Linked DNA regions of Diceros bicornis minor. The protein of the gene in region 3 interacts with the protein of the main gene of each other region in a pairwise test. Links are inferred from orthologs where the notes say so. Each region holds a gene or a part of one and is shown on either strand. Other genes may lie near its edges. The genes, in order: E2F1, GKAP1, NDN and LAX1.

What was found.
Region 1: the proteins of NDN (region 3) and E2F1 interact in a two-hybrid assay, tested with the Homo sapiens proteins (2 studies listed by BioGRID). The link is inferred for Diceros bicornis minor from reciprocal best matches to the Homo sapiens genes NDN and E2F1.
Region 2: the proteins of NDN (region 3) and GKAP1 interact in a two-hybrid assay, tested with the Homo sapiens proteins (2 studies listed by BioGRID and IntAct). The link is inferred for Diceros bicornis minor from reciprocal best matches to the Homo sapiens genes NDN and GKAP1.
Region 4: the proteins of NDN (region 3) and LAX1 interact in a two-hybrid assay, tested with the Homo sapiens proteins (2 studies listed by BioGRID and IntAct). The link is inferred for Diceros bicornis minor from reciprocal best matches to the Homo sapiens genes NDN and LAX1.

What each region holds. Positions count from the first base shown.
Region 1 is NC_080758.1:26,081,591-26,089,151, reverse strand, and holds the start of E2F1 (transcription factor E2F1), read right to left. Parts: upstream 3,010-7,561; 5' UTR 2,918-3,009; coding exon 2,657-2,917; intron 1-2,656. UniProt on the Homo sapiens protein: Transcription activator that binds DNA cooperatively with DP proteins through the E2 recognition site, 5'-TTTC[CG]CGC-3' found in the promoter region of a number of genes whose products are involved in cell cycle regulation or in DNA replication.
Region 2 is NC_080761.1:10,021,732-10,029,452, reverse strand, and holds the start of GKAP1 (G kinase-anchoring protein 1), read right to left. Parts: upstream 3,014-7,721; 5' UTR 2,866-3,013; intron 2,429-2,865; 5' UTR 2,327-2,428; exon of another isoform or gene 2,294-2,326; intron 1-2,293. UniProt on the Homo sapiens protein: Regulates insulin-dependent IRS1 tyrosine phosphorylation in adipocytes by modulating the availability of IRS1 to IR tyrosine kinase. Its association with IRS1 is required for insulin-induced translocation of SLC2A4 to the cell membrane.
Region 3 is NC_080744.1:76,965,331-76,971,932, reverse strand, and holds NDN (necdin), read right to left. Parts: upstream 2,146-6,602; 5' UTR 2,055-2,145; coding exon 1,077-2,054; 3' UTR 502-1,076; downstream 1-501. UniProt on the Homo sapiens protein: Growth suppressor that facilitates the entry of the cell into cell cycle arrest.
Region 4 is NC_080743.1:101,886,871-101,894,133, forward strand, and holds the start of LAX1 (lymphocyte transmembrane adapter 1), read right to left. Parts: upstream 3,023-7,263; 5' UTR 2,775-3,022; exon of another isoform or gene 2,434-2,774; 5' UTR 2,327-2,433; coding exon 2,238-2,326; intron 1-2,237. UniProt on the Homo sapiens protein: Negatively regulates TCR (T-cell antigen receptor)-mediated signaling in T-cells and BCR (B-cell antigen receptor)-mediated signaling in B-cells.

The DNA.
Region 1 (7,561 bases), on a different chromosome or scaffold from region 3:
CTGGTGAAAAATCTCATGACCCAAAATGCCCATCCACGGGAGGGGGCCACAAAAACCGTGATTCATCCAGCCCCAGGAATACCAGCAGCTGTCAAGGACTGAGGCAGGTCGACGCAGAATCCTCTCAAAGACAAGAAAAATGCTATAGGGAAATGCACTTATATGATCCCTTTTTGGATTAAAAAACTCCTGAAACCTGTTTTCTCTGATTCGGTTTCTGTTATTATAGAATCCATTTCAGGAGGAACCTCCGTATGGGGAGAGGTTCCATGAGGAATTGTTGCCTTCTCTGTAAAGTGTGAACAATGCACTGTCTGAACACGGAAATAAAGGAAAAACTACAATTTTTAAAACTTTGGAAAAGGAAAGCTGTCATAACCACCTTTAAAAAAACACACAAAATAGGCTTAGGAAAAGAAAAGAGAAGGAAGGATGGATGGGGCTGAGATCCTGCCCCCTTCAACTTTCACCTCTTAACTCTTTTTCTACAGTAAATATGTATTATATTTAGTTTGTTTTTTAAAGCCATGACAACAGGGTAGAGGTGGATACGAAGAGCCAGGAGGAATGGCTGAATTGCAGAGCCTCGTATGCAGGAGATGCTCTATGAATGCGCACTGGTGCAGAAGCTGAGCCTGTAGCTTGTTTCAAGGACTGCCCCAAACAAATGCCAGTGCAGAGGGTCGGCGGAGGTCACAGCGCATACAGCCAGCGGCTACTCAAAGGCACAAGAGTTGGGGGTGTTAGAGGGCAAAAGCTGACCCCCCATCCCTGCCCACCAGCAGAAAATGCCCACTAGCCCTTAAGTATTGTGAGGGCACAGGCTCCTTACTTGCCTCTGTGCCTAGTACCTAATGGGCGTGCACTAACTCAACAACTGTTGAATGAATGGACTGCTCAGGCCCAGTGAGGCTGCCCCAACACCACTGGGGGTGGAGCGGAGGGCACGTTTCCTCAGCCCCATCCCTGGAAGTATCTCTGAGCCTGGAGCTCAGCTCCTTGAGGGCAGGACCCACAGTCCTGGGCCTGTATGTACTTGTCAGTCAGCTCAATGGAGGATACTTGTCCAGGTCCCAAGCTGGTACCTGCAGGGACAAGCCACCAGGATATAGGAGACAAGCCAGGTGACCCAATCCTGGGACCCCCTCCTCCTCACTCAGTAGGAGGAAGGGGCCCTGGGCTTCCTTCAATCTGTTAGCATCTCTAGGAGGCAAGGCATCCTAGCACAGCAGTTAACTGCTCGGGAAATTTGGACTGGTCCTACCACTCACTAGCTGAATGACTAGGGAAGGTTCTAAGATTTCTAGGCCTCAGCTTCCCTATCTGTAAAAGGGGAAGGTTGTTGAGAGGGTTAAACAAGTTAATTGGGTAAAGTGCTTGGCACAGAGCCTGACACACAAAACAGTCTCAAAACAATGGTGGCTGCTATTGTTATTAGTATTAGCATCTTGGTGATTCCGGAAGGCAGCACTGGGCATGGAGCCAAGGAGATTGGGGGAGCCTTGCCGGGATGCCTCAGGGACCAGCTGCCACCCAGGCCCCCATCAGCAGTTGGGCAGCTTCCACCTCCTTGCGCTGGGCCCTGCCTCACCCCTCCCACTTGCTCCAAGCCCCCTGCTGAGACCCCTCCTGCTCGCCCCACCTTCACTCACAAGCTGTGCCAGTCAAACTGGTCTCCACACCCTGTCCTGCAGCCCACAAGTCCAAGCATCAGGCCTCCACTCCCTTCTCCCCCACCTCTTCTGGACCCCCCAGATTGAACTGGTCTTAAGCCTCTTGCTGTTCAGGGAGCACTTTATCAAGGCATCTCCCAGGGATGTTTACTCTCTCCTTGCGGTGGGGGGCCTCCTCTCCAGCTCCCAGAGGCCCAGCCTACCCAGTACTTCCACAGGGGCAGAGGGGTCTGCCTGCCTGATTAATGAGGTTCCATAGCAACCAGAGCCTGGGCGGGTGGAGGGTGGCAGATGGAAGGACAGGCAGAGGGAGGGGATCAGCAGCTGGCCCAGCCACCCCGCCCCTGCAGAGAAGGCCTCCCAGCCAGGAGGCCTGTCCCCAGAGGCCCAGGCCTGCACCTGGCAATCTAGCGCTGAGGCAGGAAGGAGGATCTCCTCAATGGCTCTTCAACGGTCTGGCCCCAGGACACCCTCCTTCACCTCCCCAAGCAGCCATGCCCACTACTCAGCTACAAGCTCTGGTCTGAAGCCAGCAGCCCTCAGTTCAAATTCCAGTCCCACCACTTGCAGCCGTGTGACCGGGGCAAGTCACTTGCCCTCTCTGAGCCTCAGTTCAGATGGGTCACCGAGCTCTCAGTATGGTTGTGAGTTTTAGCTGGCTCGAAGTCTGCCAGGCCTGACATGCAGTCTGCGCCAGTTGAATACACGTGGGCCATTATTATCTCTGAGTTTGACCCACGCGAGGCTCCGGTGAGGACGCTGAGGCCCAGAGCACAGAGAAGCAAACAAGGACTGGCCCGAGGTCACCCCGCACCCTGGGGCGGGGCCCGGAGGCTCAGCCCAGGCTCGGCACCGCCCAGGCCGGGCGCCTCAGCCCACCCCTCCCCCGCCCCCGCGGCCTCCGGGCCAAACACCGCGCCCCGCCCGGGTCTGCGCGGGGGGTCGAGGCAGCGCTCTCAGCCCAGAGTCCCTGGTGTCCGTACCGGCGGGCGGCCGAGCGCGGGGCGCGGCGCGCTGGGTGTGGGCCGGGGCGCCTGCGGCGTGGCGAAGAGCAGCAGGTCGGGGTCGCGGGGGCCGGCGGCGGGCGCGGCAGGGCCGGCGGGGGCCGGCGGGGCGCTGGCGTCCTGCGCCGTGGAGATGATGACGATCTGCGAGGAGTCGAGCAGCCGCAGCGCGCCGGCCCCGAGCAGGGCCTCCAGCGCCGGCGCGCATGGGCCGCCCGCGGGGGCCCCGGCCACGGCCATGGCGCTCACGGCCCGCGCGGCCCGGGGGGCAGGCGGCGGCGGCGGCGCGGGCCCATGGCGGCAGGCCGCGGCGAGGGCTCGATCCCGCTCCGGATCCCGCTCCGCCCCCGGCCGCCGCTGCCTGCAAAGTCCCGGCCACTTTTACGCGCCAAATCCTTTTTGCCGCGAAAGAGCCACGAGCCGCCGAGCGCTGCCACCATTGGCCGTCCGGGCCGTGACGGAGGCGACGGCGACGGCGCCCATTGGCTGCAGGGCGCCGGACCGGCGGCGGAGGGCGGGACGGGGCGGCGGCGCGAGGCGGCGCGACCAATCGCGGGACCGGGCGCGCGCAGGCTTTGTCGGGGCGGTGCCAGGCGCGTTAGCACTCCCCGCGCGCAGCCGGGACGGCCCCGGCCCGAGGCGTGGTGGCCCCGCCCCCGGACACACCTCACGCTGCTGATCCTCTGTGGAGACCTTAGGACTGAGCGTCTATTCTGCACATCTCACCATCAGCAGACCCCACGTGACCCCCAGACCCCCCCGACCCACCCCTCCCCCACCTGTAGCCCCAATACCCTCAGCCCAGATCTCTAGAAACTGCCCCTCCTCTTTTCTGGGTTCTCAGGCCCACCTCCAAAGCCCCTGTCACCCAGAGCCCAAGCAGAAGGGGGCTGCTAGGAAATGGGGGTGGGACTTCTGGCCTAATACAGTTTGGGATTTTCCTGCAAGCTCCCTTATAGCTGGAATCCCTTCAATAGCCCATACACAGCTTCTGCTTGAACTCATTCATTCAACAAACGTTTAGACAGCCTGCTCTGTGCCCCATTCTTGACTCCTGGCTCTAAGGAACTCGCAGTTTAGTGAAAAAGGGAGGAGGGGAACAGAGAGGTAACACATGTTTACGATACGATGAGGAATTTCCACCATAAAAGTGACTCCATGTTAGACCTCACCAAGGGAGCAGGTGAGGGTGCTGAGCATGAAAATGCATTTAATCTGGAGGCCCTGGGACCTCTCCATCAGCCATTTCTCATTGTGCAGGTCAGCTGGTTTGACCAATATTGTCCCCTCCTCTGTCAGGCCTTGTGCCAGCACTGAGGGCAGAGATGTGAAATTCATGATTTACACGAATTTGCCTGCCATCTGGTGGGGATGACCCACAAGAAAAAAAGTAGTTAAGACACAAACAAGAATCAAATCACTAGGCCCAGTATGAACATCACTTCCTCCAGGGAGCCCTCCAGAGTCCTCCATTGCCTGATGCTGCCTCTGTTCCAGCACTGACCACACACTGGGTTTCTCCATCTACCTCCCCTACCAGACTGGGGCCTCTTCCCAACACTGGCCTGGCCCAGAGCAGGTACCTAGAAGGGTTAGGAAAGAAACACAGAGGCTGATGCCAGAGGCCACCTAGAATGCCACAAGGAGGCCTTGGTTCTGCAAGAGTAGTCCTTAGGCCCCTGGCTTCAGAATCACCTGGGCACTTGTTAACTCTAGCCCCACCCCAGCCCTGCCAATTTAGAATCTCTAAGTGCCCAGGAATCCACATTTTCACAAGCAGCCCCCGATCCCCATTCCAGGTGATTTTTCTGTGCTTTTCCCATTTGAGAACAAATTGGTATACCCGTATAACCAAAATGTGTGGTGCAGCCTCAAATTACAGCCCCTTGAGGGTATTTCTCAGCTTCAGTTTCCTCATCTGTAAAATGGGCACATTGCCCTGGCCCCTTCCAGGGCTGCCATGAGGATGAAAAGCCTAAGGGATCTGAAAGTGTTTTATAAATTATGAGGTGGTTTAGGAAAGCAGCAGGAGTTTCCTAAGCAGTTTGTGAAATCACTCATTGCAGATCCTAGACTGTGTCTGCACTAGAAGGAACCACAAAGACTACACAAGCTTCTTGCTGCACAGATGGGAAAACTGAGGCCCATTCAGGGGTAGGGACCTGTGAAGCCAGCCAGTGATAGAATGGGGCCTACACTGGATTCCCATTCCTGGGGCCAGCCTGTCCCCCTTCTCCTCCCCGGTTAGAGAAGCTACTATTGGAATGGTAGGTCTCATTTAAAATAATCAAGCCAGGGGGCCGGCTCGGTGGCTCAAGCAGTTAAGTGCACGCACTCGGCTTTGGCGGCCCAGGGTTCGCCAGTTCGGATCCCGGGTGCACACCAGCGCACCGCTTGTCATGCCATGCCATGCCATGGCGGCGTCCCATATAAAGTAGAGGAAGATGGGCACAGATGTTAGCTCAGGGCCAATCTTCCTCAGCAAAAAAAGAGGATGATCGGCATTGGATGTTAGCTCAGGGCTAATCTTCCTCACAAAAAAAAAATAAAATAAAATCAAATAACCAAGCCAGACCCTGACAGAGGGTGAGATAAGCCAGTAACACTCCCTTTCCAGATGGAGATTCCTTCCTCCACACCTTCCCAAAGGGTCTCAATAACAGTAACATTCACTTTTTGTAAAGCACTCTCATACCCAATAGTCACTCAACAAACACTTATTGAGCACGTGCCATGTGCCAAGCACTGTACTGGTTGCTGGAAAAGACAGATATTGTTATTATTGCCCCATTTTATGATGAGGAAACTGAGGCCCAAAGGGCACAAGCTTACCTAGCATATGAAAGGCTATTATTCAGGCTTGGTGAGGCTAAAGCCAGAGGTGTTTCAAAGCCCTGCCTTTCCCCAAAGTATTCAAGTACACAGCCTCCCAGGTAGAAGCCAGTGCTCTCCTTCCCACCATCTCTCCTGTTCTGCTGCAGCAGAAAGGAGCGAAGATCAGAATTCCCAGTGTGAAATCAAGGAAGAGATAAGGGCATTCTGTATCTATTAATACCCACTTGAAAGCAGCAAAGGCCTGAGAGATGGGTTCCCTTGGCCCCAAGCCTGGCAGAGCCTGATAAGGCTGTTCTCAACATCAACAGTTCTCCTCAGGCTGGGAGGCTTCCAGAACATCCACAGTTACTGGGCAGCCACTTCCATTGATAATCTCCTTTCAATCTGATAATCCCATAAGTGAGGCTTGTTTATCCACATGGTGCAGGAGGAAGGAAGTGCAGTTCAAGGTCGCAAAGCAGAACTGAGATGAGAACTTGGCCTGTTTCACTGCAAAACCCGGGAGGGCCTGCCCTTCATACCATGTCATCCTCTGTAAACACCCCAAGAGCTAGGCTCGGGCTGTCAAGATTACAATGTGTGGTTTCCAAAAGGTATTATGGTGGATAATGGCTCAGTTAGCAGGTGCTCACCCCCATCACCACCTCCACCAACTCCTTACTCTAGAGGAGTCCAAAGGGGTGTAAGCTCCTGGGCCCACGATCCTGGGCCTGGAGACATTTTCCCCGCGATTCTTGCCAAGAGGCAGGATAGTGTAGAAGTGATAGCATGGGCTTCTAATTATTTATTTATTTATTTATTTTTCCCCCAAAGCCCCAGTAGATAGTTGCACAACCTTCTAGTTGCCGTATGTGGGACGCGGCCTCAGCATGGCCGGAGAAGCGGTGCGTCTGTGCGCGCCTAGGATGCGAACCCAGGCCGCCAGCAGCGGAGCACGGGCACTTAACCGCTAAGCCACGGGGCCGGCCCTAGCATGGGCTTCTAAATCAGGTGGATGCAAAAGGAACCTTGGTCTGTGTGACCTTGGACGAGTCAATTCACTTGCTCTGAGCCTCACTCATTCAAACCACAGATATTTATTCAGTACCTACTATGTGTCAGCATTATGCTAGGTGCTGGGGAAACAGCTGGAAGCAAAAAAGACCCATTTCTGATACCTGGAGCTCATAGTCCAGTGGGAGAGTCAGAATTATTTCTATGTACCTGCACAATATGCTCATTAATAAGTTTGACAAAAGACACAAATAATTCAAAGTTATTTATTCTACATATACCACCTCCCTAAACATACACTCTTAGCTTGAAAAAAAAAAAAATCTCCAAACAGGAACATCCCATCATTATAACGAGTGCATAATTGGGAGAAATGATTCTGTAGTGACTTAATTTTATTAAGGGGCACAGAGACATCCATTGTTGAGTTCTGGCAGAGGGAGGTGGGGAGTTTTATGTCTGCAGCATCACGTTTGTCTCGAATGATCCCTTGTTGCTACACTGAATTCTCTGTTTGACTGACGGTTTACTGTCCCTGGAGATGCTCTGTCACCGTGCCAGTTCTTTCTGGCTGTGTCTGAACACAGGCCTCTTACTCATCCGAGGCTAACATGGAAGCAAGCCTTGGGAGTCAGGCAGACCCCAGCCATGTGGTTGGCTAGATGACCTTGAGGAAGTGATGCACCCACTTGAAGGGCTTTGCTTACCCCATCCATAGGCCGAGGGGCAAAGGCTCCTTTACAGGATGGGTGTCAGGGTTAAGTGAGAAAACAGGACAGGCAGAGTTTGCAAACTGGCCCATAGATGTGATTTAATTTGCCCACAAAATATTTTTTCTGAATTATGAATTAGTTTAAAAAATTTTAAATTGGGAAATACTGTATAAAAATTGAAATATTTGGCTTCCTTTTAAACAGTAATATCTGGCAATACTAGCCAGGCCATCGCAGTGCTAAGCAGTTGCTGTCCCCCGTTTAGTCAGAGCCTTGACCCTCCAGGCCACCAGAGTCCCTGCCTGGCTTGCCTCCCTCAGTGACCTTACTTGCCCTGCCATTC
Region 2 (7,721 bases), on a different chromosome or scaffold from region 3:
AGCAATGTCAAATTACAGTGAAGTCTCCATTTTAGACATACTCAATATGCCACTTATCTGACTTATTAAATACTACAGTATATGTTAGTGCTTTCTGTAACAACTGTCCTTCCTCAGATTCTGTGCTCCAACAAAACAAACTACTCAAAATTTCCTGAACACACGTTTAGTTTTACGTGTTCATACCTATATGCTGTTCCCTTTGCCTAAACTGCCCTCTATCTCTTCCACTTAAAACTTGTATTCATTCCTCAAAATCCTGCTCAGGTGCTAGCATCTCTACGAAGCTTTCTCTGATCTGCCCCTCAAATTAATCCTTCCTTCCTCTGTTATATTTCTTCACTTCATATGTACTTTTATCACTGAATGGGTTCCATTAAAATTATCTGTTTACTGTCATGCCTACACCCCCCTACACCCCCTACACTCCCCTACACCCCCCTACAACCTTGATTTCAACATCCCGAAAGGCAAGGGCCTCTTCTTTCTATCCCTAACAAATACCACAGGACCTGGCATACAAAAGATAAATTTACTGAATTTGGGTTGTTTTTTTAATATTTACATTCCCCAAGTACACAGTTATTTATGCACTGAAAGATGTGCTCTAAAGTAGAATGGACAGCAAAAGAAAATGCAAAGCGCACTGTAGCTAATCCCCAATTCCCATAATGCAACTGTGAATTAACAAGGATTATTACCCATTCAAAGTTGTTTCATTATAAGTGCCATTCTACCAACTGATTATCACCACAACTAATTTTGTTTAGGAAACATATTTGTTTAGAAAACAACATTGGTTTTAAAGTGTTGATTAAAAAGAATTAGGCTACATCAGGTGCTTCAGTAAACTACTGAATAGCCTAAACTGCAAGAGCAGGATTTCTAAATGGCTGGTACTCTTGGTGTCCTCTACCAAGCTTCTGAGGACCAGGGCCACTATTACATCACCCCTCTAGGCTAAAACCTCTCTAGGGTCAAGAAAGATGGTAGCCGTAGCCATACCTCAGTCCACAGAACCACAATTAGGGCACTTCAAAACTGATATATGTATAAAATTCTCAGTCAAGAACAACCAAATATATCCTTTTATAAAATGAATGACAGCCATCTTCCATTAACACTATCAACCAGTTAATCTGATCAAAAAAGAAAGTAAAACAATGGAGATGCCAATTAGTGTGGCCTCGCTGAAATGTAACTTAGACTTTAAAAAAACAGTGTAAGATGAAACGGCACTGAGTATCAGTGATTTAATACCTGGTGAAATTTTTTTAAACTGTATTATTTCATGTTCTGTTCCTCAAATAACACAACTAAACAGTATCTTTCACTTTGGCTTCTTATAAATTAAGGTGCATAACCAATAAGTGCCAAGTGCATACCAAAACTTTGCTCCCAACACACTTATTGCAAACAAACCACACAAACTTAATGGATATGCCCTAAATTCCATTTTGTCTTCATAGTTAAATACTGCCCCTCCTCTCCAACCTGCAGTCTCTAAAGGGCCTTCAGCCCTTTCCATGGGCTGAAAAAATCTAACCAAAACCTAGAAGCAGGTGCTGAGTGAGAACCTAAGGGACTCTCCCATGAATAAAGCACGTGTATTTTCATTTGCCCCAACGTTCTTTGAGTCAACTTCTAGGTTCTTGCTTTTAGTCCACAGACCGAAGCCACTATACTGGTATCTTATAGATAAGTTTGTTAAACCATTTATGACAATTAAGAAAATCTCCCATTGATCAGAATTTGACTAATATCAACTACAGTGTTATAAACCTGTTGAGGGAAAAAATCTGTATTTCCACAGATTAAAGATTTTTAATATTTTAATTCGCCGTCAAGTTCATCTAATATTCTGATAGCTGCAAGTCAAATTTATTAAACTGAGGATTCCGGTTACAATCACGAGCACATTTACTACATAAAGAAATAGACAATACTGAACGGTGTAGAAAAAATTTCACTGGCTTTTCAGCAAAAAAAAAGACGATCTTCCACTAGTGCTTCTAATGACAGCCGTAGCACCTACTCAGTTGTAAAATCCAGCTAAGAATTAAAAATGTAAAAGCAGCTGGAGAGAAAACATAATCAATTTAATAAACCATTTTTGTCATTACTATCCAATATCCACTAAGCACCCTAAATGCTAGAGATCTGACAAAAAGTCTGCGAGTCTCCCTGTTCCAAACAATAACAGGAAAAAACAAAATCCAAAACTCGTCTCCACACTTTTCCATAGCCAGCGGGGAAGAGGAGGAGCACTTTCTTCAAAAGTACTTCACTATACCTCATTCATGAAGGAAAGGCAAATTTCACCTACAGGCTGTTAACCGATGCGCCAAAACTTCGTCGCACAAAGTACACAGAGAAAGAAATAGGGCTGTGCGAGACCTAACTCGGGCAGAGAAGCGGCTTCGAAAACCTGAAAGGAAGAAAACAGCGAGTCAGGTTGTCGCTCCAGAAATTTCCGAGCGCCCGACACCCCGCGAGGGAGTGCGATGCCCGCGGCGGGGAGGGGGCGGCGGCACCTGTCAGCCGGCGGCCCCGCGACCACTGTGGCCCCGGGCCCCGGCGCCCGCGGGGTCTGGGAGGCGCAGCCACGGCCGGGGCCTGGGGTCCGCGCGGGTCTCTCTCCGCCGCCCCCGAACCCTGCGCGGCGCGTCGGGGCCGCGGCCCTTTCTGAGAAGCGGCCTCCCGCGCCCTCTGCCCAGAGCCTCCGGCCAGCGAGGCCCGTCACCTCAGGCCGAGTCCCCAACCGCCGAGCCCGAGGCGCACGGAGCAGCGCGGCCGAGCCGTCACGACCGCCTCAGGGACGCCGGAGCGGACCCCCGCCAAACGGCCCGCCCTCCACGTACTCACCGGGCCTCCCCGGCCGCCGGCTCGGCCCTTCTCTCCCGCCTCCCCCCGCCGCCGCCGCTCCCGGGGCGACAGCACTGGGCGTTGGGACGGGGCTGGGTCAAGTGTCGAGGGGCGGGGACAGGCTCGCACCCGGCGGGGGTCGCGAGCGGGCGCCGGGCACTAACGGGCCCCGCGGCGCCGGGGCCGGCCGGGCTGGGCGGAGCGCGGCTGCAGGCTGCGGTGAGGGGCGGGGAACGCGCGGCTGCGAGCCGAGGGCGGGAGGGAAGTCCCGGCGGAGGGGGCGGTGTGAGAGCCGCGGGGCGGGGCGGGGGCGGGGTCGGCGCGCCAGCCGGCGCGCGCGGGGGTTTGTTTATTTTCTCGGTTGGTTGCGGCGCTGGCGCGTGGGTAGAGGTTCGCCGGTGACGTGAGCGCCCTGAGTTGGGGGAGAGGACCAGAACCACCTGCTGGAGAAGGGGAGCTACGGGGGCCGGGCAGGGTCCAAACGTCTCACGTAGGCTGCGGCGGCGCGGTCTTTGGGGTTAGCGGGAAGAGAAGGGCTTTCCCGGAATGGGTGGAAGGAGGGAAGCCTCCTGAGAGAATAGGACTCCTAGCCACTCACCAGCAGTCGGCAGCTTCACCTGCATGGTGGAGAGCAGATAGACGGCCCTGGAGTGGAAAAGGGCCGTGACCTGGGGGCCCGGGTTCCCAGCCTGTCGGGGCTCGACCTCCTGTTAGTGAAGTAGGGATGGTCCTGCAAATCAAGATTTGAATAGCGAGACTACATCAGGCCACAGTATGGAAAATAACGAACGTTGCTCAGTTCTCTGTAGAGTTACACAACACTTGGACGTTACCTCTTTTGGTGCTCCATCAGGTAGTGGGATTCCCATTTTACAAGCGGAGTTAAGTAACTTACCCAAAGCCTCACGGCTAATAAGTGGCAGAGCCGGAACCCAGCTGTCCTGATTTTCGAGTTCTGTGCTGCTTGCCACAGCATCGTATTATCTCCCTAAATCACTTTGATTCAACTAATACTAGACACACACACCCCCATAGGTAAGATGCTACAGGGTTACAAAGGGGAGTTGAAGATGTTATCCTTGTCTTCAGAGAGTAAGGAATAAAACAAAGATAAAACAGTTGTAATAAAAGACAAACCATGATAGGTGCTGTGTGAAAAATACAAAAGAGTACTGCAGAAGATCCAAGAACTGTTCATATCTGGGGGGTCAAGAAAGAAGCAGCATGGAGGAAGGAGGCATTTGGTATTGACCTTGAAGGAGATGGGGATGGTTTTCCAGCAAGAAGGTATAGCATGAGAATATGAATCAGTGAACGTCATGTTCAGGAAAAAGCAAATGGTAAGATTCTGGGGCATGTTGAGAAATGGCAGAGACAAAGGAGAATGGGGCCTGGGATGTAAAGTGGAAAAATTTGTATTTATTTCAGTACTTTTAGTTTTCACGGTTTAAAAGTTTTGGGGAAGAATCTCTTTGTGAAGGGATATAGAAATTGGAGATGGGAAACTTGCCAGATAGACGTGCAATAGGCCAGTTGAAAGGTAATGATGGGTCTGAACTAAAGGTAGTGCAGGAGGAGTTTGAATGAGCTTGGTTGAAAGAGGATGTGGAAGCAGAATCAACAGAATTTGGCAATTGATTAATTGGTTTACAGCAAGAGAGGATAGCATGAGGCTGTGTATGAAGGTTAATATAAGAAGGAAGAGAAAAAAATCAAAGATAGTGGAAGTTTTGAGTTTGGAGATATTATAAAAGAGAGAAAAGAAACAATAAGAGATAGCAGGAACTGCTTTTTGAGAGATCAGTTTAGATTTGGACATTTTAAGAGTTTGAAAAGTTGTCAAGACAACCAGATAGAAGTGGACGCTAAGAAGTTAGACATAAAAGTTTTGAAGTATGGGAAAGAGGATTGAACTAGAAAATAGATTGGGAAGTTATCAGCCTTGCAGTGATACCACTGTGAGAGAAAAGAAGAAAACAAAGGGCAGAATCTTGGAGAACATCTTCCTTAGAACCTTGCTACTCAAAGTGTGGTCAATGGCCCAGCAGCACAGCATCTCCAGGGAGTTTGTTAGCAAGGTTGAATCTCAGCCCTCCCCCACCCCTCCAGACCTGCTGAATCAGCATCTTCAATTTAACAAGAACCCCAGGTGATTTGTGTGACATTAAAGTTTGAGAATCTCTGACCTTCATGAGAGAAGCCAACAAATCAAGAAGGGATCTAATCTAGATGAGAGAAGCCAGCGAAGAAAGGGGGAGGAGAAGAACCGGGGTAATGCAGAATCACCGAAGCAAGGTAAAGTGGAGTTTCACAAAGGCAGAGGCAGGAAGGAATGATGATCAGCAATATCCAAAACCACAGACGGTGAAAAGCACAAGGAAAGAAGGTATGTTTGAATTTTGTGATTAGGCGGTGTGGTCATTATGACCGTGTTGTTCTAACTGAAAGCTTGGAAACTGCCCTTTTGTGATCAGGGACAGCCTAGAAATATAATCCCTCCAGTCCTCACATAAATGGGACATACCAAAGTAGGCTTGTGAATTTGATAGTGGGACAAAGCAGAAGTTCTTTTCTAGTTGCTTTTATTTTCTCAGTGAAATAAGAAACAAGATCATTTTGGCAGACTGTTAATTGTCCATCACAATTTATTCTCCCCTTCTTCCTGGGCACACAGACTATTTTTCTCAGCCGCTCTTTCAGTGAGCTATGATCATGTATTAAGTTATTGCTAATGGAATATGAGCAGAAATGGTGTCTGGCACTGCCAGGCCAGTGTGCCTCCTTCATGTGTTTTTCCCTTCTGCCAGCTGGATTATGCAGATGACCACAGCCCCTGGGGTTGACAGATTCACCAGAAAGAAGGTGCCTGGATGAAGGAGAGCTGTCCATGACCTGGAACACCCACTCTGGATTATTATGTGAGCAAGTTATAAATTTTTAGTGAGTTGGAGCCATAACATTTGGGGTTCTATTTGTTATTGCAGTTTAGCCTACTCTAGCTAATGTAGTCATTAACTAAATAATGAGGGGGGAGTTTGAGAGGGAGGAGGAGAGAGGAAGAGAGGTAAAATAGTAGCCTATGAGTGTGGGAGAGGGATTTGACTAGGGAAACACAGTAAAGTTCCCAGGCACTACTAAGGGCCCACCTGAGTGAGTGAGTGGTCATGAATTTATAGTGAGACCAGTCAATGTGGTTGTGCATTTTTCTCCAGCTTTATTCAGTTGCTCACCTGCAGTTTGGGATTAACCAGGACTGAGATTTGGCCAAGCAAGAATGGTGGGGAGAGATAGGCAAAGTAGGTGAGGGTAGAAACAAAGAAGGCATATAATTTCAGACAGGGTAAGAAGTAAGGCTGTGAGATGGGTGGAGAGCGGTGAAAAGATGGTAGGGTGAATAGGCTGGTGTTTCTGATCAGGTTGAAGAATTGGTGGAGTTTAGGTACTATAGAGAATGACCTGAAACGATAGGAGATGGGTTGGAGAGTGGGAGGCTTGAAATTAAAATTAGCAGAGAGGCTCTAATTGTCAGTAATGTCAGGGTGCAGGGAATGATCATGAGAGGGGGGAGCTGAGACAGCAGAGGACACAAGATCGTGTGAAGACAGGTGGTCAAGGAATCGAGAGGCAGTAAAGATTTGAAAGGAATATATATATATACACACACTATATATATATAATATAATAAAATATGTATATATTTATCTCACAAAGAATTATCCACAGGAGTGATGGTAGCATTGGAGTAGTGATAATGAGCCTGGTACTAAAATCTCTGAATTAGAGAGTTCAAGGCCATCAGTGATTTAATATGTTAAACTCTTGCAGATAATCATGTTTCATTTAAACAGGCGCTTTAAAGTTTTATGTTACTAATGTGGGATTTCTAATTGCTTCTTTTTGACGTCTCATTACAGATGATAACTGCTTTCTTTAAGAGGAAATGCCCATCTGTCTGTATTATAAAATAAACACCTGCCAGGCTTCCCAGTTTAAGTGACTATGCTTTAAAATTTGTCATAGACTACTCTGTTCTACCTCCAAAATGTATCCTCAAAGAGATACATCAAAAGTGATGCTAGCTTTGCCACATCAGATAATGCACTGTAAATGTTCAAAATCTACGTGAAAAACCTCCTGTATAACTTAACAATAAATAGGGATTGACAAGAGACCTGACAAATTGAAAAGAAGATGAATTTGTAGCTTAGAAAATGATATAGGGGGGCCGGCCCCATGGCTTAGCGGTTAAGTGTGCATGCTCCGCTACTGGCGGCCTGGGTTCGGATCCCGTGTGTGCACCGACGCACCACTTCTCCGGCCATGCTGAGGCCGCGTCCCACATACAGCAACTAGCAGGATGTGCAACTATGACATACAACTATCCACTGGGGCTTTGGGGGAAAAAAAAAAAAAAAAAGGAGGATTGGCAATAGATGTTAGCTCAGAGCCGGTCTTCCTCAGCAAAAAGAGGAGGATTAGCATGGATGTTAGCTCAGGGCTGATCTTCCTCACAAAAAAAAAAAGAAAGAAAAGGAAATGATATAGGGGGGCCAGCCCCGTGGCTTAGCGGTTAAGTGCAGGCACTCCGCTGCTGGCGGCCCGGCTTTGGATCCTGGGCGCGCACCGATGCACCGCTTCTCCAGCCACGCTGAGGCCGAGTCCCACATACAGCAACTAGGAAAATGTGCAGCTATGACATTCAACTATCTACTGGGGCTTTGGGGGAAAAATAAATAAATAATTAAATAATTTTTTAAAAAGTTAGAAAATGATATAGGGATCTGGAGGCAGACTGCTAGGGGTTGAATCACAGCACTCATCCCATGGGGTTGTTGTGAGGATAAATATGTAATATA
Region 3 (6,602 bases):
GGTTCGAATCCTAGCTCCTCCTCTCACTAAACTTTATGATCTAGGTAAAGTTAATTACCTACATTTTTCCTGTGTTTCCTCCATGGTGTAGATGTACTAAGTGCCTGCCTCATCACGCTGTTGTGAGGATTAAATAAAAGGAGAAAATGCATGTAAAGCATTTAGTAAAATGCTTCAGTCCTTAACTGCCCACAAGAGACAGCTATTAATTTTAATAAAATGTAGAAAATACAAGAAAGGAAATTACTCTAAATATTATTTCTATGTGATGTGACTATGAGCATTTTTGCTTTTTCTTTTTATACTTTTTTATATTTGTCAAAGGTTTGAAATGAACGAGTTACATTAAAAAAAAACTATAAACTTCACACATCTATGAGTAATGATAAGTAGTGATTTTCCCACCCTATTAGATGAAAGTTATATTTGTACATTTTGTAAAATGTCTTATTCCCAACCCATACCACTTTGTTTAAAAGATGAACACTTTTCCAAAAATGATTGTATCACAAGAATCTTTAATGTTTACTTTAAAGTTTACTCATGGTGGGGTTGTATTTGTGTTCAGTGAAGTGTGCCAAGTGCCCACATTGAGACCATTTCAGTTCATATCACTGCACTCCACACGGATGGTTCCTGTGCCCAGCAAGGTCAGAGAGAGGGGCCTTGACTTTTCTCTTGGTTAGGCCAGCTTTACTGGTGAGTTCTTCCAAACTCTCCAGGAGCAGTCTACCCCAATACACATCATCCGTTCCATATAAAAGAATAAGCTGGAAAATTTCTCAATGTATTTCATAAGTTTAGCACATCTCTGGTACAAAAATTCAAGAAAGGTAGCACAAAAAGCGAAAGCACCAACAAAGCTTACTTATAAACAAACATGCATCAATCCTACACACTACCTAATAGTACGGAAATGAATACAACATTGCATTAAAAGGTATAAAAGCACTGTACTGAAAACAAACTTACACGTGAAATACTGCACTGTAAATCCTGAATACTCTAATGTCCCACCCCCACCCTTCCACCGCCCTGGTGAGGGTCAGAAACCATTAATCTGCCTCCAGACCTTGCTAGTCCTCGGAGACACTGCTGCGGGGGCAGTGGGCGGTGGGATCGGCCTCCCGCAGAGCTCTGGCCTCCTCCAGAGCCTCTCTGTATCGGGAAGGCCAGGCCTGGGGGTCTTTCTTAAAGACCCTGGCTAGGAATTCCATGATTTGCATCTTGGTGATTTCGCGGCTGGCACGGGAGCCCCAGAAGAACTCGTACTCAGGTGGCTCAACGTGGGGTACGCGCTGGTACTTCAGGTAATTCTGCTGGACGAACTCCTCGGTGATGAGCTTTCTCACATCTCCAAAGGTGGAGTGCTTCTTCCAGGGCCGCAGCCCCAGGATACGCAGCACGTTCCAGACAGCACTCTCTCTGGCGCCGCGACCCTTCACGTAGATGAGGCTCAGGATCATCAGCAGGAGGCCTGTCATGGGCATGCGGTTGCTCAGCGCCACCCTGTCCAGCTCCTCTGGCTCAAGTGCTTTGACGAGCGAGAACTCCATCGTGTGCAGGCTGGTCAGCCTCAGGTGTAGCCCGAACACTCGGGCCAGGATGAGGCTGGTGCGCCTGAGAATGCTTCTGCACCATTTCTTGTAACTGCCGATGACATCCTTCACCATGTCTGGAAACCAGATGATCATCCTCTTCTGGTCCTTGACCAGCACGTACCACATGAGCTCGTGCGCCTTCTGCACCAGCTGGGCCGGGGCGGGCGGCGTTGGGCTGGGCTGGGCCGCGCTCGGGGCCTGGTAGGCGCGGCCTTCCTCCACGGCCTGCTGCAGGGCCTTCGGGTCTCCCTCTTCGCTTGGGGCCTGGGGCGGCGGCGAGGCCAGAGGGGCGTCGGTCGGGCCTAGAGGAGGGCTCTCTGGCCCTGCAAGGGTCGCGTCCTGAGACTCGGGCGGAGAGAGCCCCCCGGGAACCCCAGGGCTGCCGTGCACCTCGGAGTTGGAGGGCTCGGCTGTAAAGCCGGGGTCGCACACATCCTTACTTTGTTCGGACATGTCTGCTCCGTCTGACAACGACACGGCCTCTCCGTCCAGGAGCTCTTCGAGCCTACTCTCCCTCCGCTGACTCCTGGAGAGGAAGTGCGCCTTGCTGCGCACGGCGCCTTCCGCAGCGGCCTGGCGGGGCGGGGCGGCGGAGGGACGGGCCACTGCGCCTGCGCGTCCGCTGCCGCAGGCAGAGCTCCCAGGGACGGGGCGGGGAGCCCGAAGGGGGCGGGTGTGCGTTGAGATCCCAAGGAGGGTAGAGGCGCCGCTAGAATTATGGCAACAGTGATCCCCAGGTGTCAATGTTTGGGCTAAGGAGGTATTGAGGAGGAGGGGAGAGGGATGGATGAGCACTGGAAGAGGAGCAAGTTTAAGAGGAAAGATGACTTAAGCTTCGGAGATGCTGAGTTTGAGTTTCTTAGGGAATGTTCAAGTGGGCATATCCAGAATCAAGTTAGATATGAGAGTCCCAGAAAAAGATCTAGGCTGGTGTGTAAACTGGCATTTCATGGCAGCGAATGTGAGAATTTAAACTGAGAGAACAATCGAGATTGCCCCCGCCCCCCCAAAAAATATAGAAACTGTGAGGAGGATGTCTGAGGTTGGAATCCTGAGAAATACCAATGAAAATTGACGGAATCCCTACCAAATCAGAGGGATTATAAAATAAGAAATGCAGAATATAGTCAATCCATGTGCAAAGGAAACTTTCTTGGAGATGCTATGCTAATGACATTGTTAGTATTTTACTGGTCATTGATTTTGGTTTTCCATTTCCTTTGGGTCATTTTGATTTCATTTTAATTTTTCCATTAAGATCTTATCATACAAAGATTGTCATATTTATTAGCATAAATTTGTATGATATCTTTTTCCTGGTTTGCCCAGCTCCCTCCTTCCCCTGATGACTGCTGCGACCTCTACTCTGTGTTCTGTGGGAACTTCACCTTCTCACAGGGCCCCACCCCCACCCTCTCGCAGCAACTAACTGTTCCCATGTTGGCAGCCACACGCAAATCCCTCCCAAGACTTTTTTTTTAACAAGGGTCCCATAGATCATATCTGGCAGTCTCTCTCAGATGACCAAGGATATCAGATGCAACGTATTGGCAGTTGTGTTTTCCAGTTTCAGAAAACAGATCTGCAGTGGGCAAAAACAAAACAAAACAAAACAAAACTCTCAGAGAAGCACCCATGAAGAAAGGAGTGGGTGGGTGTAGAAGCCTCTGGATCCAGGGTTCCTGAGAGTGATCAACATCCCTGGTCTGAGCTAGCGTGGTCCCTCAGCCCTTCCTGGGTTTCCTCAAGCCAACAGCTTCATAAATATGCCATCTTGTGTCTGGATATTGTCACCTGCAACCCAAAGCATAATTAAATACTGTCTTGACATTTCTAGAGTCCTCTCTTTATTTGCTTGTATCCCTTTCTTATTTTTCACTTTTTTTTTTCTCTCAAGTAGATTGACTTTGAAGCGTTTTCCATGCTGTTTCTCTATCTTTGGATGTCCATGCTTGTATCACATTTAGCAGGACCAGTCCCACACCAGTCTCTCCAGTAGGTCTCCTTAAGCTTTCACCTCAAAAGGATAATTTCTACAGATCTTTGAGATGTGTCTTCGATGGATTTTTTCCTGTTTATTTTCTTCTTCTTCTTTAAGTTATGGATTTCTATTTTTCTGAGTACATCTTACAGAGTTGTGTCAGTTATATGTTTTTTTAAAATTATTTACGAGTGGCTGTTGAATTGATTTATTAAAAACATTTTTCTTGAGAATAATCCTCATTTCTCAGATTTTATCACCATTAATTTTTCTTCCTCTTTTTTTCTTTCATTTGGATATTCTTTTCTAACTATTCGGGTTAAGTATTTAGTTCATTTATGGTATTTCTAATAATGAAAATGAAAGAGACTGTTATTTAAATCTCAGCTCAGCTTTGGCCATATGCCATAACTTTTGCCATTGTGAGGTTATTAAAATTACATCCTCAAATTTCTCCCTCCTAGAATTAGTGGATTCATGAAATTAAATCACAAGCTCGGGCACAACAATTATAAAAGTATAAAAACACTTGTTTATAAAAATTATGAAAGCAATGATAAGAAAAATTATAAAAACGCAACAGTTATAAAATTATAAAAGCTCCTGCTGTAGTGGGATCTCAGAGCTCTGGCCAGAGAGCTGCCTGGGTTTCCTGGACTGAACCTCATTCTAGTGAAGTTGCCTATGTGCAACAGTTGACCCCCACTACTACCACAGCTCACTTCACACCTCATTTCTGACAGGAGGGTTGTTTATTACTGCACAAGAGCCTGTGGATTAGAACTACTATAAGGGATTCTGCTCAGAGAGTTTAAAGCATTGGGACTGACGCCCAAGTTTGAAACCAAGTACATAGTAGATTCCCAGTGCTGCTCACCCTTGGAGCCCAACTGTATGCCTCCTAAAGGGATATCATTTTCTTCCCAGGAAAAGGTCTGCTGAAGAGGGTCCATTTCCCACCAAGAAGGAAATTCATGGAGTGGGGGGTGAAAAAAGTAATGCTCGGGTTAGCCTTTAAGTAGAGAAAGTATACTGCACATGTGTCATGGGAGAGGTCAGTAGCTTGATAGCTATCTAATAAAGTGCCTACCCGTGAACCAGACATGCAGACCTTTAGAAGGATAAGGAAAAGGACAGAAGGCACCATAGGAAAGAAGAGCCATCCACAGCTTCTTTAATTCAAGGGTCGAGATTCAGGGCTGGAGCTCCGGTGATGCTCTGAGAATGCTGGGGATAAATTAGGCTTGCTGGTTATCTCCAGGGCTAGCCCTATTTGATAAGGGCAATGAGTCCTTTCAGGGACAGCAGCTTAGAAGCAAAGGCTTGAAGTTTACAAAATAACTCCCCAGAGAAACTCATTAAAGGCTACTCTTTAAGTCAAGTTTCTGTAAATAGAAGTTCCATGGATGCAGGAAGTATATGGAGAAGTTATAACTTAAACATTCTGCTGAAGACAGTTTTGCTGGTGGGTTACTTCAAACTCTGTAATGTGGAACAGATTACACAGCTGTGGAATAGGCTGTTCTTGGCAGACTCAGGAATAGGAGGAGAGGCCTGTCCTGGCACTGGTTTCCATAGCGAACAGAGGAAGGGGGGTCACCCCAGAGTCTCCGGTGGACAGCGCGCATGCTCACAGTGCGGAGGCCCAGAGGCCCCGAATGAAATGTGAATCCTTCTGGCTCTTTCCTGTACGCATAGGCAGCAACCTCCACCTTAGAGCCCCCATATGGGCCCCAAATGCCTTGCAGGCCAAGGAATTGAGACAGACAATTCACATTAATGTGTTCAGCAAATATTGAGCAATGTCTATCATGTGCCTGAAAGATTTGCATTTTAGAAAAGTAGCTCAGTCTGAGGGGGAAACCAATTGCATTGGGACTGTTTGGCTGTCTGGCTCCTTTTTGTTTCAAAAGAATAAGTGAGGACAGGCTGTGCTGCTTTCCACAGTTGGGAGAGTGGAGGAGGGGACTCAACCCTGGCCCCTCATCCCTGCATTCTCCCTAGGATAACGCTGTGCATGCCTGTCCAACTGAGGCCAAAAGACGCTCACTAAAACGGGAGATCTTCTAGTCCTGCCCAGACCCACAATGTAGCCTGCTGGCACTTAGGAACTGACAAGATCAGGAGTGTCCTTTAGAAATGTCACTAGAATTAAGTCTGGAGTTGGGGGCAGGTGGATAAGGAGAAGCAGAGAGACCATTTAGGAGATCTTTCACAGGAACCCACTTGAGAAAGAATGATGGCTTGCATTTCAACTTCGTTCTGCAGGTATTTATTAAACACTACATTTCAGGCTTTGTGCCTGGGGATATAATGAGAAGGAGAGACATGGTCTCTGCAATCTAGAGAGAGGGTAATTAGTGGAGAAAAGGGGCCATAAGCAAACAAACAAATGAGTATTAAATAATCGTGCATTATTCTATGATGCATATTGCTAGGGAGCAACAATGTTGTCACAGAGAATAGAACAGAGGGAACCCATGTTCAATAGGGATGCTGGGGAAGATATAAATAATAAGAGAAGGTGAAGGGAGACTGTGAGTATCAAGGATGACAAAGATTCCGTCTCAGGGGCAGCTAAGACTGAGCAGTGCCATGTAGCTATGATATGGAGGCACCACTTCCTGAGACTATTTGGAGAGAGGTAGTGGGAAGAGGGAGTTGACATGTCCAGCAAATATCTGGATATATAGGTCTCACGAAAGAGGCTTGGGCTGGAAAGAGAAGTTTGGGAAACAAAGATGGTAAATAACGTCACCCTGAGAAAGCCTCTAGAGGAGGGTTCTTCAAAGGGTAACATCCTGACATGAGGGTGGGAAAATTTTTCATTGCGTAAGAGTGTAATGCACACCGAAGCAGTTTATGCCTCTGTCCCCTTCAAACGCACATATAAATGCCCTCCAGAAATGGGAAAAATGAAAACAAAGTGTAAGAAAACAAAAAGACACTTTCCCCATACACTGCTAAAAGCCCTTTTATGGGCAGTTCAGTCTCTGAGAACCACTGAAACTAACAAGCAG
Region 4 (7,263 bases), on a different chromosome or scaffold from region 3:
GGCAAAGATGGATGTGAGTCTAGGTCTGTTTGGGCCCAAGGGTTGTGCTAGCTCCAGAGCACCGCACTGTCCTCCAAACTCGCCACATCAAGTCCATCTGCCCCTGCTTCCCCTCATCCTGCTCCTGGGCTTCCTGTCCTGCTTGGAGGAGAGGATTACTCAACTTACAGCTACGGAGTGGCCCTGTGACAGAGTCCAGCTTGCGTGCTTGAGTGACCCCCACAGCACCAACCTGAGAGCTGGTCTCCAAGCAGCACTCCGCTGTTCTGTGTAATTTAACCAGTGCAAATGCACCAAGCAAGGCCACGCTGCTTGTAATTCTCTGGCAGGCCTGGAGTTCCTGCTCTGCTTTGCCTACTGTAACAGGAAGCAGCCAATCGAGGTTCCAAAAGGAATCACTAGCAGACATGCTACCCCCAAATATTAGAAACCAGGTCATCTAGCAGGGAAGGTTTTTGTCCTCCTGAGTTCTAGGCTTGTTTACCCAACTTTATACTGGAAATTTCCACCAGGCTGCCCAATAGACATCTCAAACCAAATATGTCTAAAACAGAACTCTTGCTCTCCCCCCACAAAGCTGCTCCTCCTTTGGTGTTTCCCATCATCTAGTAGCTTGGTCAAGACCCTGGAGCCATACTTGACTGCTCCCTTTCATTCATGACCCGCTTCTAGTCAACCAGTAGATTTTGTCTTCTCAACTCCTGAGCATCTATCCCAAACCCAGTCACCTCTCGCTCCTCCACTGCCACCACCCTGCTCCAAGCCACTGTGTGTTCCCCATGGACCTTTGCAGTAGCCTCCCTAATGGGTCTCCTTGCTTTCACTCTTGGCCACAAAATACTATCTTCACATGTGAGCCAGCGTGATTCTCTCAACAGTAAATCAGATCGCGCCCCTCTGCTTGCAACCTTCCATGACTCCCCATCACACTCGGGATGACACCCATGGTCCCTCCCCAGGGAGGAATTCCAGCACCTTCTGTTCTGGCCTCTGTGACCTTCTGACTTCATTTCCTACCCCTTTCCCTCTGACTTTGACTGCCAGGACTCCTGGCTGTTCCTTGACCACGCAAAGCACAGTCCTGGCTCACCTGCCGCTCCCTCTCCCTGGAGCCCTCCTCTGCAGCTGTCTGCGCAGCTTGGGCCCTCATTTCATTCAGGTCTCTCCTGAAATAGCACCTCCTCAGACAGGTGCTCCTGGGCCACACCCTGTTACTGTCAGTCCCCATACTCTCCTCTGGTGTTTCTTCCTAGCACTTACGACCAATGGACATTATAGTCTACATTCATTTGCTTCTCTGCTTATCTCTGAGTTGCCCACTTGGCTGTCAGCTCCAGGAGGTCATGGACTTGTCTCTCCTGCTCACTGGGTGCCTGGAACAGTGCCTGGACTTATTGGGGCTTGATGAGTATTTGTTAAATCAACAAGTGAGTGAATTCATAAACGAGTGAATGAATATAAAAATAGTTTTTTTGGGGGGTGAGGGCTGCAGGGTTCTGACAGCTTTATTAATTCATCCCCCATCAATGCTCTTGTCCACCTGCAAATGACATGTGTGTGTTTGTCATGGTAATAACATTTATTTCCCCAAACTAGAGTGATTTTAAATTTATTACGGTTGAGTTGTACTGTTATCATAGCACTGAAATTTATACCTACTAGTGTTCCTACCCTTTCAACTGCTGATGGACTTTTTATTTTTGTTAGCCCAATGTTGAAAGTTTTAGCTGTAAAATTTACATCCATGATTAGTTCTGTGAGATTTTGTGTCCTAAAGACATATCTTTATCGTATCTATGATTACATTTTTCATTCATGGCAAGTTTTTAGGACCTAAAAACACATCCTTGAGATAAGTGGGCCTTTTGTTTCCATCATGGCAGGACCTACTTGTTTTTTGAGGAATGATTGGTGGGATCAGGGACAGGAAAGACTGAGGACAGTTATCAGGACCTCAGGGAGGAGAGAAGTCCACCAGGCCAGGCAGCCAGCTCTCAGAAAATCCTGTGTTGTCAGAGCCTTCCTCTTCCCCAGCAGCTCCCTCTTCTCCTCGACACCTCTTCCTTTCCTCCCAGCAGTCCTGAGCAAACCTCTCTGAGCCTAGAGTTTGGTGGTCTCAGTGGACCTGAGCCTGGTTGCAAGGGGTGGCAGCACTGCTGGGGTAGAAGCTGCCAGGGTAGAGCAGGGCCCTCTGTCTAATCAAGGGAGGGTGGAGCTCACCACCCAGAGCCACTCACCTGTCCAGGCTGCTGCGAGTGACCTGCAGAGTGCCGGGCTCCGCCGTCCTCCCTCTGATTTCTGAGAGGGTTGGGGTGGTGACAGCCATTGTCACAGGAACCTCTCTGGCTTCAGCTCCTCCTTCTAAGCCTCCTTTCAATCACAATCAGCCAGCCAGCATGTCTGCCACTTTCCTGGCTCTTCCTAAGTTGTTGACTCCCAGCAGAAAAGGCAAAATTGGTTTGTGTTTTACATATCATACTGTGTGCTATAACCACTTTTTTTAGTAGACAAGAATGACAGAAATCCTCCTGGTTTTCATGTCTTCCAAACCCTCCCTAATGTACAACTCTTAACTCTCAAAATTTCTTCTTAAATCTTTATTCACCAAAGTCTCTCACAAAAAAAGTCTATTGGTTTTTATTTCTTCCTTTCTAAAGCTCCCAATCTGTCTCTCTAGAACTTTCTTTCCTCCAACAAACTCCCTGCTTTGTGCCTACCCCTGAAATGTCAGGCTGAGTTGACCCAACATACGAAGACAACAGGCTTGGTTCTACCTGGACGCGGCTACAATGCCCACTGCAGAGGCGAGGGCTCATCCAGCGTGGGCTCCCCCGGCGAGGCGGCTCCGGGAGAAGCTGTGGTCTTTGCCTCTGGTAGAAGTGTGAGGGGCACCAGGGCGAGACTGCCAAGAGGCCCTAGAGAGGCACCGTGAGAAGCTTCTCTTCCTCCAACCCCCAAAGCAGAGAGAAAAAAGCAAACACTGTGCCGGAATGGAAACAGAGAGTCAGTCACAGGAAGCGACACCACCAACGTGCTAACGGAGCGTGGGGCACAGGAAACGCTGCTCAGCTCTTACGAAGAGAAGAAAACTTGTCTGTGCCCCTGTTCCCTGGGTCAGCCAGGTGTGCCGTGCTCTGTGGGAGTGTGACTGAGGCTGGAGCAAGGTGGTGGGGTATCTGTGCTTGTTCACCCTGGGTTTCTGAGACGTCTAGTGTTTTATAAACCTCCAGGTTTATCATGTTTTTTAGCAGGTCTAAGGAGCCTAGGAAGACGCTTTTTAGAAAAACGCAGAGCTCTGGCACCTGCGGCTGTTCCATGGGCAGAGAGTCCAGAGGGGGACAGGTTGTTTTCATAAATGCTTCCCCAGTGATTTTAATGGAGCTGGTCTGTGTTCCACCTTTGAGAACCTGTGCTCTGGGTTTGACCCTCAGAGTGGAGCTGAGGCTGGGTTAGCGGGGCCCTGGAGGCCATCTCTTCCTGAAGGCCTGCCTGCAGTGGCCCCTGAGTGCTGGCTGTCTCCCTTGCAGGGCTCTTGGAGAAGATCCATCCCAGGCCTGCTTTTTGTACACCCCCATGTGCACCCCAAGTGTGCCAAACTTCAAAGATTGCTCCAGATTTGTTTCTAACTCCCTTCCCCTCACCAATCTCCTGAAACTCGCTTTGCATCTTGGGAGAGTCCAAAGAGAAGGGGCCACTAAGACTATTATGAGGGTGTGAAGAAGAGCCTTTGACTTCACTTTCCACAAGGAAATGGATTCCCAGGTGGATGGTAGGGAAGATAGGTGATGCCTCCTCCCTATGCCTCTCTCCCACCTCTTCCCAGTGGACATCAAGGCCCCTGGCCTCCCTGAGCTGTCAGCCCCTGCCCTATGTACGTCTAGGCTCTCACAGGGCCCCCAGGGGAGGGGGCTGCAGGTTGGCCCAGGAAGGCCCCCCAGAGCTCTGCCATTCCAGGTCCTTGCTGCCTTCCTTCCAAGTAGCCTTACCTGGCAGGAAGCTCAGAGACAGCTGGTTCTAGAGCTGGAACCTGGGTCTCTGCCCACTTCTCCTTTGGATCAGGTCTGAGTAACAACTAGGACACCTCACAGGGAAAAAGACCAGCAGTCTGTCACACTGGGTGGTGGCCGGGACTGGTGGAAGAAAGAGGCCCTCAGGCCTGCCCTCAGCCACTGGTGCCAATAGGGGATGGTGTGTGAAGCGGGAGCTTAGAAGGTGGTACACGGGAAGGGTGAACCTCGGAGCTCTGACTGCTACTTAAAAAAAATGCTTTTCAAGAACGTCCCCCTGTGTGTGACCATCTTGAGTCCCCACTTCCCTCATCCACCAGCCTGCCTGAGTCAGACTAATCTCCCCTCCAGTCTTCTGATTTCCTCCTGCCCCCACACTTGAGGGAAACAGCCCCTCAAAGGAGGCTCGCAGGCTACAGGCCAAGCTCCGGGTTTCCAGGCCCCGGCTGCGCCCTCACCCTGCTCTCCATTCCCTCCCGAGGTGCCAAAACCAACCAACCTAAACACAAAATAGGTGTCTGAAATTATTCATCATAGTGTGGAAGACAATTCCTCCTTCTGGGAAACGGCGCTGTGTTTAGAGCGGCGTGCTCTTGTACTTGCCTTTCACCAGCCTCAATGATTTCAGGAGTTGAATGCGACTCACGATTCTAAAGTATTAAGACCGGCTTTAAATTGACAGAACCTATGCACCCAAGTGAGCAGAGCCCCTTGAGGGCAGGGGCTCCATGCTAACTCAGTGATGTTGCTAACAGCAAAACCTTTCCGAATCCTCTTTGGAAGACAGGTGCCCTAGGTGAGGAACATCAGCACGAGTTCAGATCCTAAATTACTACTTGGTTGATCTTGGGCAGGGCCTCCAACCTTTTTGGGTGTTTCCTTGGATGTAAAATGACAGTAATGACAGTGCGTAGGCAATGCTGTTGTGAGAAATAACGGGGCTAACAATGAAAAACGCTTGCTTAGGACTGGGCACATGCAAGAGCTCGTTAAATGGGGCTGCTATTATGTTATTCTCTCATTATGCATTAGGCTCATTTCTTTATACTTAAGGGACTGCTCGCTCTTCCTCGCCTGATGCTTAGCCCGCCGACCTTCCATGTGTTACTTCCGTCTCGAAGCACATACTTGCGGGCCGTCTCCCATTGCACAAGAGGCCCTGGCTTTGCACGTAAGGCAGACGCGGTCCCTGCCGCCGTGCAGTGGTCATCTCGGCTGGCCGCCGCCTTGTACTCACTCTGCATTCCAGGCGGACCCGGCTTGCTGTCACATTTATACTCTGGGCCTTTGCACGACAAGTTCCGTCATTTTAACAGCAGTTTCTTTTTCTCTTGTAAAATTCCAATAAAATCACATTTTAAGAGTTTATACTGGTTATTTCTGGGTTGTGGGGCTTGAGGTATTTTGTTGCTTTCTTCTTTGGGCTCTTATTGCTTGAATTATTACAAAGATCAAGTGTAATTTTTGTAAAAAACAAAATTGTTATTAAAAAAAAAATGTGGCCCAAGTGTCAGCACCTCCGTGAAGCCTTCCCGTCCTGAGAGCCGGGTTCTTGCTCTTCTGTGTCCCCACGGCACCATGCGTGATAGCACCTCTCAGTTGTTGGGATTAGTTGTTTAAATGTCTGTCTCCCCAAGTAGACTTCGAACCCCTTCAGGGCGGGGACTGTGTTGTATTTATTGTTCTCTGGCTTTTGGCACAGTGCCTGACCATAAGAGTTAATTGGGCTCTAAGAAGTTCTCCTAGGTGCTTATTGCTGCTGTGAATTTATGACCTGGGTGTGTAATGGGGCGAGATACTGGGAAATCGATCAGTGTCTAGCCTGTTTTCCTGCTGTGCGCTCATCAGCCAAGTGAACACGGCAGGCCTGCACTGCCTCTCTCAGGAAGGACAACCTGAGGCCCGGTGTGTCTCCTTGCTCCAGGACGGGGTTAACAGCCGCTTTTGTATTTCTAGGCCAAAAAATGCCAAAATTGCGTTGTGTGAAAGACAGCTCCAGCTAGGCTTTGTTTCTGAAGATTTGGGAGCTGAGACAACCACCGCAGGGTGATAGGTGGAGCCTTGATGGCGGCAAGCCCCACCCACTCGTTCATCTGTGTCCTGGAGGCCTTCTCCAGTGCAGACAAGTCTGAAACAGAGAACAAAGGCCGCGAATACCTTCCCTTTAAGTTAAAGTTCTGAGAGAGCAGGGTTAGGACAGAAAGATTTAGAAAGTACAGAAATATTTCTCTCACTTCTCTGCTTCCTGCCCCTGCTCCACCCAAGGCCCTTGGGGAGAGTGAGGAGAATTTGGAAGCAAGGAGTGTGAGCAGACAAGGGGATGGTTTCCGTTCCCCACTTAGGCTAAGCCCTGGTGGAGGAGGGGGGTTGGCATGGCTGACAGTAAGAGAACCCTTCCCTTAAGTCTGGTGACCTCTGCCTGCTTGGTCCTTCTGGAGTTCTATGTCTGGCAGCCTCCACTTGAGTCCTGGCAACCACAGAGCCGGAGTAGAGCCAGCTGGGAGGCACGTCTGGATGAGCACATGTCTGCTGACAGCCCCTAGTCTTGTCTCAGCCGGACGTCCCTCCCCCAGCCCACAGAAGAGAGCCCGTCTGTCCCCTGCTCCAGGAAGGAGGCAGCTCCTCAGCAGAGGGAGCAGGGTGGGCAGTCACATTAGGCATCGACGAGAGCAAAGCGCATCTCAGAAGAAACACCAAGGGCAGCTGGCGTGCCAACAGGAGTCGGAGGCTGGAACAGGGAAGGCACAGGTCAGGATGGTTTTCTTTGCTCCCTTCTTGTGTGAGTGAGTAGAATATCATTTCAATCATTTCATTAACCAGGGCGTCAGAAACAAGCTAGGGTGGCAAGCAGCATGTCTTAATTTAATTTTTTTTTTTGAGCAAGCCTTTTGTTTTCTCTTTTGTGTGTCATAGGAGAGCATGATGGTGGGGCGTGGGTTTACCTGTGGCCCTTGGTATTAGGCTGGGCCCACATGCGGCCTGTGTGCAGACAGAGCTGCTCTGTTCTTCCATTCTCCCTAGATTGCAGCCACATGAGAGCCAGCATAATCCCCTTAAAGTGCAAGATAGATCGTTGTGGTCCTCGGTTAAAACCCTCTAATGAATTCCCATTTTATGAAAGCCAACCTCATAACAGCTTACAGGTTCTGCCCCCACTTCCAACTCTCCATCTCTGAACTCATCTCTTTCACTTTCCCACTTAGTCACCCAGTTCCAACCACTGGCTTCCCTGCATGTCCTCAAACAATCCAGATCT